Cricetulus griseus: one gene and its partner. The protein of the gene in region 1 interacts with the protein of each later gene in a pairwise test. Links are inferred from orthologs where the notes say so. Each region holds a gene or a part of one and is shown on either strand. Other genes may lie near its edges.

The links.
Region 2: the proteins of Stx16 (region 1) and Vamp5 interact in binary tests that used the Homo sapiens proteins (3 or more experiments, as listed by UniProt). The two-hybrid records come from large-scale screens. The link is inferred for Cricetulus griseus from reciprocal best matches to the Homo sapiens genes STX16 and VAMP5.

Annotation. Positions count from the first base shown.
Region 1 is NC_048599.1:5,005,982-5,010,229, reverse strand, and holds the start of Stx16 (syntaxin-16), read left to right. Parts: upstream 1-1,330; 5' UTR 1,331-1,620; coding exon 1,621-1,752; intron 1,753-3,383; exon of another isoform or gene 3,384-4,044; intron 4,045-4,248. UniProt on the Homo sapiens protein: SNARE involved in vesicular transport from the late endosomes to the trans-Golgi network.
Region 2 is NC_048601.1:64,109,733-64,114,045, reverse strand, and holds the start of Vamp5 (vesicle-associated membrane protein 5), read left to right. Parts: upstream 1-1,308; 5' UTR 1,309-1,451; coding exon 1,452-1,454; intron 1,455-4,313. UniProt on the Homo sapiens protein: May participate in trafficking events that are associated with myogenesis, such as myoblast fusion and/or GLUT4 trafficking.

The DNA of each region.
Region 1 (4,248 bases):
TCTGCTCCAGGGATGCGGCTGGAGCAGCCCTAGGGGGCCCCTCGGCGAGTCCCCCTAAGCCAAGACAGAGTAGCAGTGAGCCAGATGCATGGTTCCACGGACTGGCAGGCGACCCGAAGGCCCAGCTCGATGCAAGGCAGGCATAGCAGCAACACAAAGCTCTTTTGGGGGGAGTGAGAGTGAGGGAGGGTCTCCCAGTTAGCAGAAACCTCCCTGGCAAGCACAACGATGCAGTGTCCCCTACGGAGTGTGGCACCTAAGGGTGGGGGTCGACGTCCCCCTGACTGTCCTCAGCAAGGCGTGGAACTCAAGATTTTTTTTTTCCTCCCTGTTCCTTTTTCTCGCCTGGTTGTTTTTTGGATACTTTTCTTTTCTCTCTCTCTCTCTTTTTTTTTTTTTTTCAGCTTTAAAAAAAAAAGAAAAGAAAAAGGCACAGCCATCTCAGCAGCGCCAGCAGCCTGCAGTGGAGCGTGCCCGGCCTGCAGAGGCACTGTCTCCTGCCTTTTCCTCCGCCCCCGCGCAGGACTAGGCTCTGCTAGAGCCACACTCTTGTTTGCTTGGCAGTTCTACTAGAAGTTTACAGTTGTCTGGACCCCAGCAGTGATTTTCGGCTCCAGGGCCAAGTTTTTGAAGTTTTCTTTGGGCCAGGATGCCTGTCCCAGAGTCTGCACACACTTAGGAAGAGGGAAACAGGGCACCCCGGGAAATACCCCAGAGAGGGCGGGGCGCTCCCACCCCTGGGGCAGGGCAACAAGGGAGATCCCTCTCCCGGAACGTTACAAACAATCCTCATGAACATCGCAGGGGGGCACCCGCGAGGAACGGACAGGAAGAGGGCTGGGGAACGCTGAGCCCGGGACCACACGCGGAAGCGGCCCTGGGGCAGGGTTGCAGCCATATCCCGGGATGGAGGGTGCCGGCCAGGAGGAGTGAGGAGGCCGGGGTGCAGGCCGTGAGGTCCTGGTGGAGGGAGGCCTGCAGCCTGCGGGCCTCCGGGGAAGCAGGGGTCGGGTCGCCCTGAGCCCTGGGAGGCTCTGAGGACTCGGAGGGAGCTGCAGACGCTCGCTTGGAGTCCTGGGCTCAGGCCTGCTCGTGGCTGGAGCAGGCCTTTTGTGAGGAGAGTTGACCAAAATTCGGAGTTAGAGCCACATGCCAGACACGCAGGCGCTAAGCGAGTGTGTTTCGAGGCCCAGACGTCAGGGGCAGTCTCAGGAAGCGAGTGGGCAGGGGTCTTGTGCACGCTCCCTCCTGATTGGTGGGTTAGACGCTTGCAGATCCGCCGCTGGATTGGGGAGGGGTCTCCAGGACGTTCGGTTTCTATGCTAGGATTGGGGGGATTCTAGTGCTTAGAGATCCGAGCCAGGGCTGGGGTAGGGGGAGCCAGACAATTGGAAAGCCTAGGTGGTTATTTGGGGAGGGGTCTCTGCGCTTTGGCGGAGCGCAAAATTGCACCTTTTTTTTTTTTTTTTTTGTGGCCTGAGGCCTTGTCAAGAGAGGTTTCTAAGAAAGGGTGGACCAGCCAGGCTAGCGTGAGAGAAAGAAAATAAAAAAAAAGAAAGAAAAAAATCAAGACTATAAGGGGGTGGGGGACCCTGAGAGGGGGGGTCACAGAGGTGAGACATGGCCACCAGGCGTTTAACCGACGCTTTCTTGTTGTTGCGGAATAATTCCATCCAAAACCGGCAGCTGTTAGCCGAGCAAGTGAGTAGTCACACCACCTCCAGCCCTCTGCATTCACGTAGCATTGCTGCGGTGAGTCTCCCGGCGGCCTCTCCAGACACACACACCGTGTGCACTGCGGCTCTGCCTGTCTGTCTGTCTCTGTCTGTCTGTCTAAAAAGAGAGAGAGAAAAAAAAAAAAAAGGAAGAAAAAGAACAAAACGACGACGATTAGGAGTGATACTTAAGTGGAAGGGCTCCCTGGTCAGGGGTCATGGGGCACCTACGACCCCCAAAGGGGACCACAGTATCAAGCCCTGCTCTGCCTTACTCACTCACTCCATGGCCTCTCAGTCCTCAGTGTCACAGCACGACAGGCAGCTTCAGTTTACATGTGTTTTAACCACGAGGACTTGGAATCTAGGCCTTTCTCCAACCTTCTTTTTGTTTTGTTTTGTTTTGTTTGGAGTTCTCCCCCCCTACACACACCTCCTGCAATGGCTTCACTTTGGTTCTTTGGGTCAGGTGGTTGGTTAGCTGACTCAAACCCTTGCAAAGGGAACTCTCCCCCCACCCCCACCCAGGAGGGAGTTGTGTTGTGTGTGTGTGTGTGTGTATTAGGGGTGTGTTGTGGTGTGTGTGTGTGTGTGTGTATTGGGGGTGTGTTGTGGTGTGTGTGTGTGTGTGTGTGTGTGTGTGTGTGTTGTGGGAATGGGGGTGTTGTGGGGGTGGGGGTGGGGGTGTTGGGTGTGTGTGTTGGGGGTGTGGGTGTTGGGGGGTGTTGGGGGTGGGTGTTGGGGGTGTTTGGGGATGGGGATGTGTGTGTTGGGGGGGTGTTGGGGATGGGGTGTGTGTGTTGGGGGGTGTGTTGGGGATGGGGATGTGTGTGTTGGGGGGGTGTTGGGGATGGGGATGTGTGTGTTGGGATGTGTGTGTGTTGGGGTGTGTGTTGGGGGATGTGTGTGTTGGGGGTGTGTGTTGGGGATGGGGATGTGTGTGTTGGGGGATGTGTGTGTTGGGGGGTGTGTTGGGGATGGGATGTGTGTGTTGGGGGGTGTTGGGGATGGGGATGTGTGTGTTGGGGGTGTGTGTGTGTGGGGATGTGTGTGTTGGGGGGTGTGTTGGGGATGGGGATGTGTGTGTTGGGGGTGTGTGTTGGGGGGGTGTGTTGGGGATGGGGTGTGTGTTGGGGGGGTGTTGGGGATGGGGATGTGTGTGTTGGGGTGTGTGTGTGTGTTGGGGGGTGTGGGGATGGGGATTTGTGTGTTGGGGGTGTGTGTTGTGGGAATGGGGTGTTGTGGGGGTGTGTTGTGTGGGTGTGGTTGTGTATTGTGTGTGTGTGTGTGTGTTGTGGGGGGGTGTTGTGGAGGGGGTGTGTACTCATTTTCTCTTCTCACAATTTTTCTTCAAATGGCCCCAGTCCTCTGTGTAGCCACGCCCCCCCCAGGAATAATTGTGCTGCTGTTTTTCCTGGGCTCGTGCTGGTGAGACTGCAAGGTGCTCGGCCCTTCCATTTCCCACACAGGAAATTAAGCTTCCCCTCCATTCGAACTTTTTTAAAAACATGATGTGATGTGAAAATTAACCCCCCAAAATAGCACCCAGCTTTTGATTTTATTGACCGGAGCTTCACTTGCTCCAGCAGTAGTGGGGTTTGTTGTTGTTGTTCTTTTTCAAAGCAGTGTTCCAGAAAGATTGCTGTATTTGGTTTGTTTTTGATGCAGGCTTTGACTTCCTGAGCCTCAGTCTACCTCCCTGTCAAATAGAGGTTGGATGTGAATGGGCGTCAGATGAGTATTTATAATAACCTTAATTGAAAAGGGAGGTTTGAGTCGGAGCATAGGGGAATGCACAGTCACCCCAAGCCCTTAGGAAGTTGTATTTGAAATGCAATGTGTGAAACCCTGCGCCTTTCCCACCTTTTAGATGCTGGATTGCCTTTTAATTTTTTTCTTTTATCGTTTATCAAAGTGATAATGAAAAATTAAGCTCTGTGTCGTGATTGTCAATGTGTTGCCAAGACAATTGTCCCCTTTTTAAGTCACCATGAAAAAATTTTTAAGTCACCGTGGAAATTATGCTTGGCCATATTATTCACAGAAAAGGTATTTGAAGCCGTGTGCGCCGCGGGCGCCGTTTTGGGGGGGTTAGGTGTATGAACTTGGTCACAAGGCATAGGAAATTGCCCCCCAAGGGGGCAGGGGCTTTTGTTTACATTTATATTGAAGGGTTTTTACTTGTAAACTGAAAGACATAATATTACATAGAAATAAAAAAAAAAAATCTCAGCATGGAGATGGGTTCATTCTAACATGGCTTTTGAAAAGAAAGGGTCTCCAGAAATAAACAGAGACATAGTGAGTGGCAGCGGAATGAATACAGCTGGTGAGTCTTCCGTTATGTTAATAAGAGTCTCCTGTTCTTTATGTCTTAATTTTATGCAACCTCATGGAGAGGGGGAAAAATAGCCTAGCACTAAACCCGTGCTAAAGCTTCTAGGGTCTCAATTTTAAGTGATAGAAGATATTGTTTGATTTTTTTAAATTTAATTCTGTATGTTCAAAGCACTCTGAACCTTTGGGTAACATG
Region 2 (4,313 bases), on another chromosome or scaffold:
AGTAATTTTTTTTAAATTACTTTTTCTTTAAATTATTTTTTTTCTTTTATGTGCAGAAATGCATCACTTGAATATGTGACTATGTACCACATTCATGATTGGTGCCCTTGGAGGCTAGAATAGGCATTAGATCCCCTGGAGCTGAATTATAGACAGCAGTGAGCAGAAATGAGGGTGATGAGAATTCAATCTGGGTCCTCTGGAGGAGCAGCCAGTGCTTTTAACTACTCAGCTAGCTCTCCGGTCCCACATTCTAGTCTTTGATTAAGCACTGGGCGATGGGCCAGTGAGATTAAGAAAGAGGACTGTTTGTTGGCTCCTCTTTAATTTTTCCCAGTTATGCAAGAAAAGCTGCAGTATCCTCATCATCACTCTGCTTCAAAATCTCCATCTTTCTGACCGGGGGAGAAGTCCCCATGGCCGGCATCAGGAATCTAAGGGGAAATTGTATGTTCTCAGGCTGGATAATCCCTGTTTGTTTTCCGACTGACTCCTAAACTCACACTATGAGGCTCTTCAGGGCCTGCCATGTAGTTTGTCTGTGTTTTATTCTCTGGGAAAGGGAGTCATTCTTTGCTTGAGTACTGCTCTGGAGGCTGGCTCAAATCTTCTCTTTTTCTTCCTCTGCCTCTTGCTGGTTCAAAACTTGGTCTGGCTGCTGTTGTCATCTTTTATTTCAGGCTGGGATCCATCCCAGCAACTTTAGAGGCTCATGCATCCACACACCACTGAGACTTTTAGCTCACAGGAATGTCGGCAGAATTTTAGCATTTAAAAAATCGCCCCCCCACCTCCTCCCACCCCGGTGTATGGAGGTCAGATAGACAACTTGCAGGAGTTGGTTCTCTCCACAATGTGAGTCCCAGGGATGGAACTCTGATAATGCAATAGATTTGGCTTCAAGTGCCTTTATCCACTGAACCATCTTGCCAGACCTCAATTTGTCTTTTTTAAGTGTACAACTTGGCGACATGTGATGTATTCAGAATACTGCCTGCTCCGTCTGAAAACAACCAGAACTTTGGAGTGGTTGATGTGTTTTCAGTTTTGGGTGGCATGCACTCACCAAGGTGGCAAGCACCCATCCTGGCATGTTCATGACATCCGGAGCACTTAGCACTCACAGATGCTTGTCGTATGACAGAATGACGCCTCCCTCGCTAACTCCTGTTGCAGTCCCAGATCCAAGAGACATCGGTCCCCAATTTACCAGGCTGGGGTGTCATCGGAAATCGGACGCTGGTGGCCCGGTAGGAGGCGCCCCACGGACCCTGTTGCTGCTTTCGGTTTGTCTGGGTCGGGCACCTCTCTGAGAAGGCGCCCCCCCTCCGCCCCCTTGGCCCGCGGGCCCGCCCCGCCCCGCGGCTTCCTCCAGGGCCGCGGGCACTGAGGCCACGCCGGGCAGAGGAGCCGGAGCCGGCAAGCAGGAGGTGGCGGTGGCTGCGGAGGCGATGGTGAGACGGGCAGGGGCAGAGGGCGATTATGCAGGGGTGTGATGTAGGAGCCCGAACCCCAGGGGTGCGGGTCACGCTGGTCGCATGAGCCAGACCCCAACTTTGCAGGCAGCCGGGAAAGGAGAATCAGAGTGCGCCCCGTCGGTGCGGAGTGAGCCGAGCTGCGCTTCCCACGCTCGTGCGGCAGTTAGCAGCTCCCGGCCATCCCGGGCAAGTCACTTAACCTCCATGAGCTTCCTTTTCCGTGCCATAAAGTAGGGGCAGCAATACCTACCTTAGTGGGTCCTTGAGAGGTTAGAGGAGATGTTTATGGTTGCTGCTGCCAGGCACTCAGAACCCTTTGCTAAGAAGTAGCAGGTAATGCGATGACCTCTGCGGGCTCTTCCCCGGGGGCTGAGAGAAGCCAGAGCTGGCCCAAGGGTTGGAAACCTGAGTAGATGCCTAGTGGAGGCCTCTCTAGGCTGGGTGCTGAAAGATAAACACTTTCCCCGGGGAAAGAGAAAATAAGTTGTTTACTATAAAAGTTTCATGAAATTATCAGTGTGACACAGGCTGACTCTTTCCTAACCTCTACCTAATGACATAATCCTGGCTTGAGTCACCTATACTCCTGCTGCAGACCTGCCATTTCTAAGGCAAAGGTGTCTGAGACCTCTGATGCCAGGATCCCCCTCCCCTGGGACTCCTGGGGAGATGGACCAGACTGAAAGCAAGTTTAGTACTCTAAGGCTGGATGGATGTGGCTTGGCTAGAGATGCCAATGTCTGGATGGCTTCATCTCTAGGGAACTAGAGGCAGGAAAGGGAAATGGGACAGGAAGGTAGCCCTAAGCTGTGAGGCCACACCAGGAAACTGAGGGAGGCTCTGAGAATGGGCTGGAGTTAAGAGCCCACTTCCGAGAGTGCAGGGTAAGAGCTGGGAGGAGATAGGGGGTGGACTTCCAGCTGGCCCTCAGCTCCTGGGGAGAAGTTCTGAAATGAAGGCGAGCTAGGCTAGTTATCTGACTGTACAGAACCTTGGGATGCTCACAGGTGCATTCCAGTCAAAGGGGGTTCCGAGCCTGGGGGATACATTGTTCCTCCAGCTCCATCAGCTAACTCTTCCTCCCTTCTTGTCCCCTTTTCTATCTCCAGCTCTTTCCCTTCCGTCATCCACCCCTCTGACTACCTAATTACTCCCACCCCTTTCCCCTTCCTTCTCTTCTCTGTGACTCATTGGGACAAAAAGGACACAGCATTTCTTTTGTGCCACTAGCACAGGACAAAGCAGTGATAGGGAAGATGGAAAGTGAGCAATCATTTTTGGCACGTGTACACGTGTTCTGTGCATGCTTATTCACATGTGTGGGCACACACATGTTTAGGTGCACATGGAAGTCCGAGGTTGATGTCCAGTGTCTTATTTAATAGCTCTCGGATTTATTTATGGAGACAGGGTCTCTGGCTGAACCTGGAGCTCACCAGCTTGTCTAGTCTAGCTGACCAGCTAGTCCTTGGGAGCCCCTGTTTTTGGCATCTTGAGCACTAGGATAACAAACAAACTGCTTGGATTTTGTGTGGGTGCTCAGGATTCAAATTCTGGTTCTCATGCTAGTGCAGTGGGAGCTTTATTTATGGAGCCATCTCCCTAGCACCATATATCGTTTTTTTAAAAAGATTTTATTGTGCTAGGTGGTGGTGGAGCATACCTTTAATCCCAGCACTCCAGAGGCAGAGGCAGGCAGATCTCTGTGAGTTCGAGGCCAGCCTGGGCTACAGAATGAGTGCCAGGACAGGCTCCAAAGCTACAAAGAAACAAGAAACCCTGTCTCGAAAAACAAAAAAAGCAACCAAAGATTTTATTGTATGTGTATGAATGTTTGCTCACATGTATGAATGTGCACCATGTACGTGAGTGCCTATGGAATCCAGAAGAGGGTGTTAGATCACCTCATACTGTAATTGTAGATGGCTGTGAGCTGGGAACTGAACCTAGGTCCTGTGGAAAAACAGCAAGTACTCTTAACCACTAAGCCATCTCTCCAGCCCCACTATAAATACTTTTAAAAATTACTATCTTGCTTGTTTGTTTTTTGGGAGACAACATCTTATAAAGCTGAGCCACCATGCCTGATTGGAATGAACTCTTTTGCTATAAAGCCCTTAAACTGCCTGTATAGACAAAGCTGTCCTTGAAGTTGCAGCAATGCTCTTGCTTCTACCTCCCAAGTGCTGGGATTACAATTATCTGACACCATGGACAGCTATAGAATAATTCTTTTTTGTTTTTGTTTTTTCTTGAGACAAGATCCCACTCTGTAGACTCAGCTGGCCTTGAACTCAGCCTACTGAGTTTTGGAATTAAATAGGTCCACAACTATGCTTAGCTGAAAATAATTCTTGAAGCCATTCATCTGGCAGAATTGGTGTGTGTAGTCGCAAGCTGAGTTGGCAGCATCAAGTGGCTGGCAGTCTTCAGCCAATCAGCTGGAGCTTCATACTCCCCTCTCTCTCCATATCTGGTTTAGCACAGGGTTTAGACTTGTGGCCCCTGGGTCTCTGACCATTCTACCCTCAGATTGGTTACCTACTGGCTCTGGACAACTTAACACCTCTGGGCTGTAAAACAGGGACAATAATATTGTCTTGAGTGGGTTCTTATGAAGATTTAGCCAGATGCCCACATGCACAGCTAGCTCAGTGCTGGGCAAGTTATGTGCTCACTGAAAGGTGGCTGTAACTATTGCTCAGGACTTAAGGCCTGTAATTCCAAAACTTGGGGGCAGAGACAGGAGGACCCCCAAGTCTCAGGCCAGGCTGGACAGTTTATTGAAAGTCTCTTGCATGTCTTTTTTTTATTATTTAAATTTCTGAAAGGGCT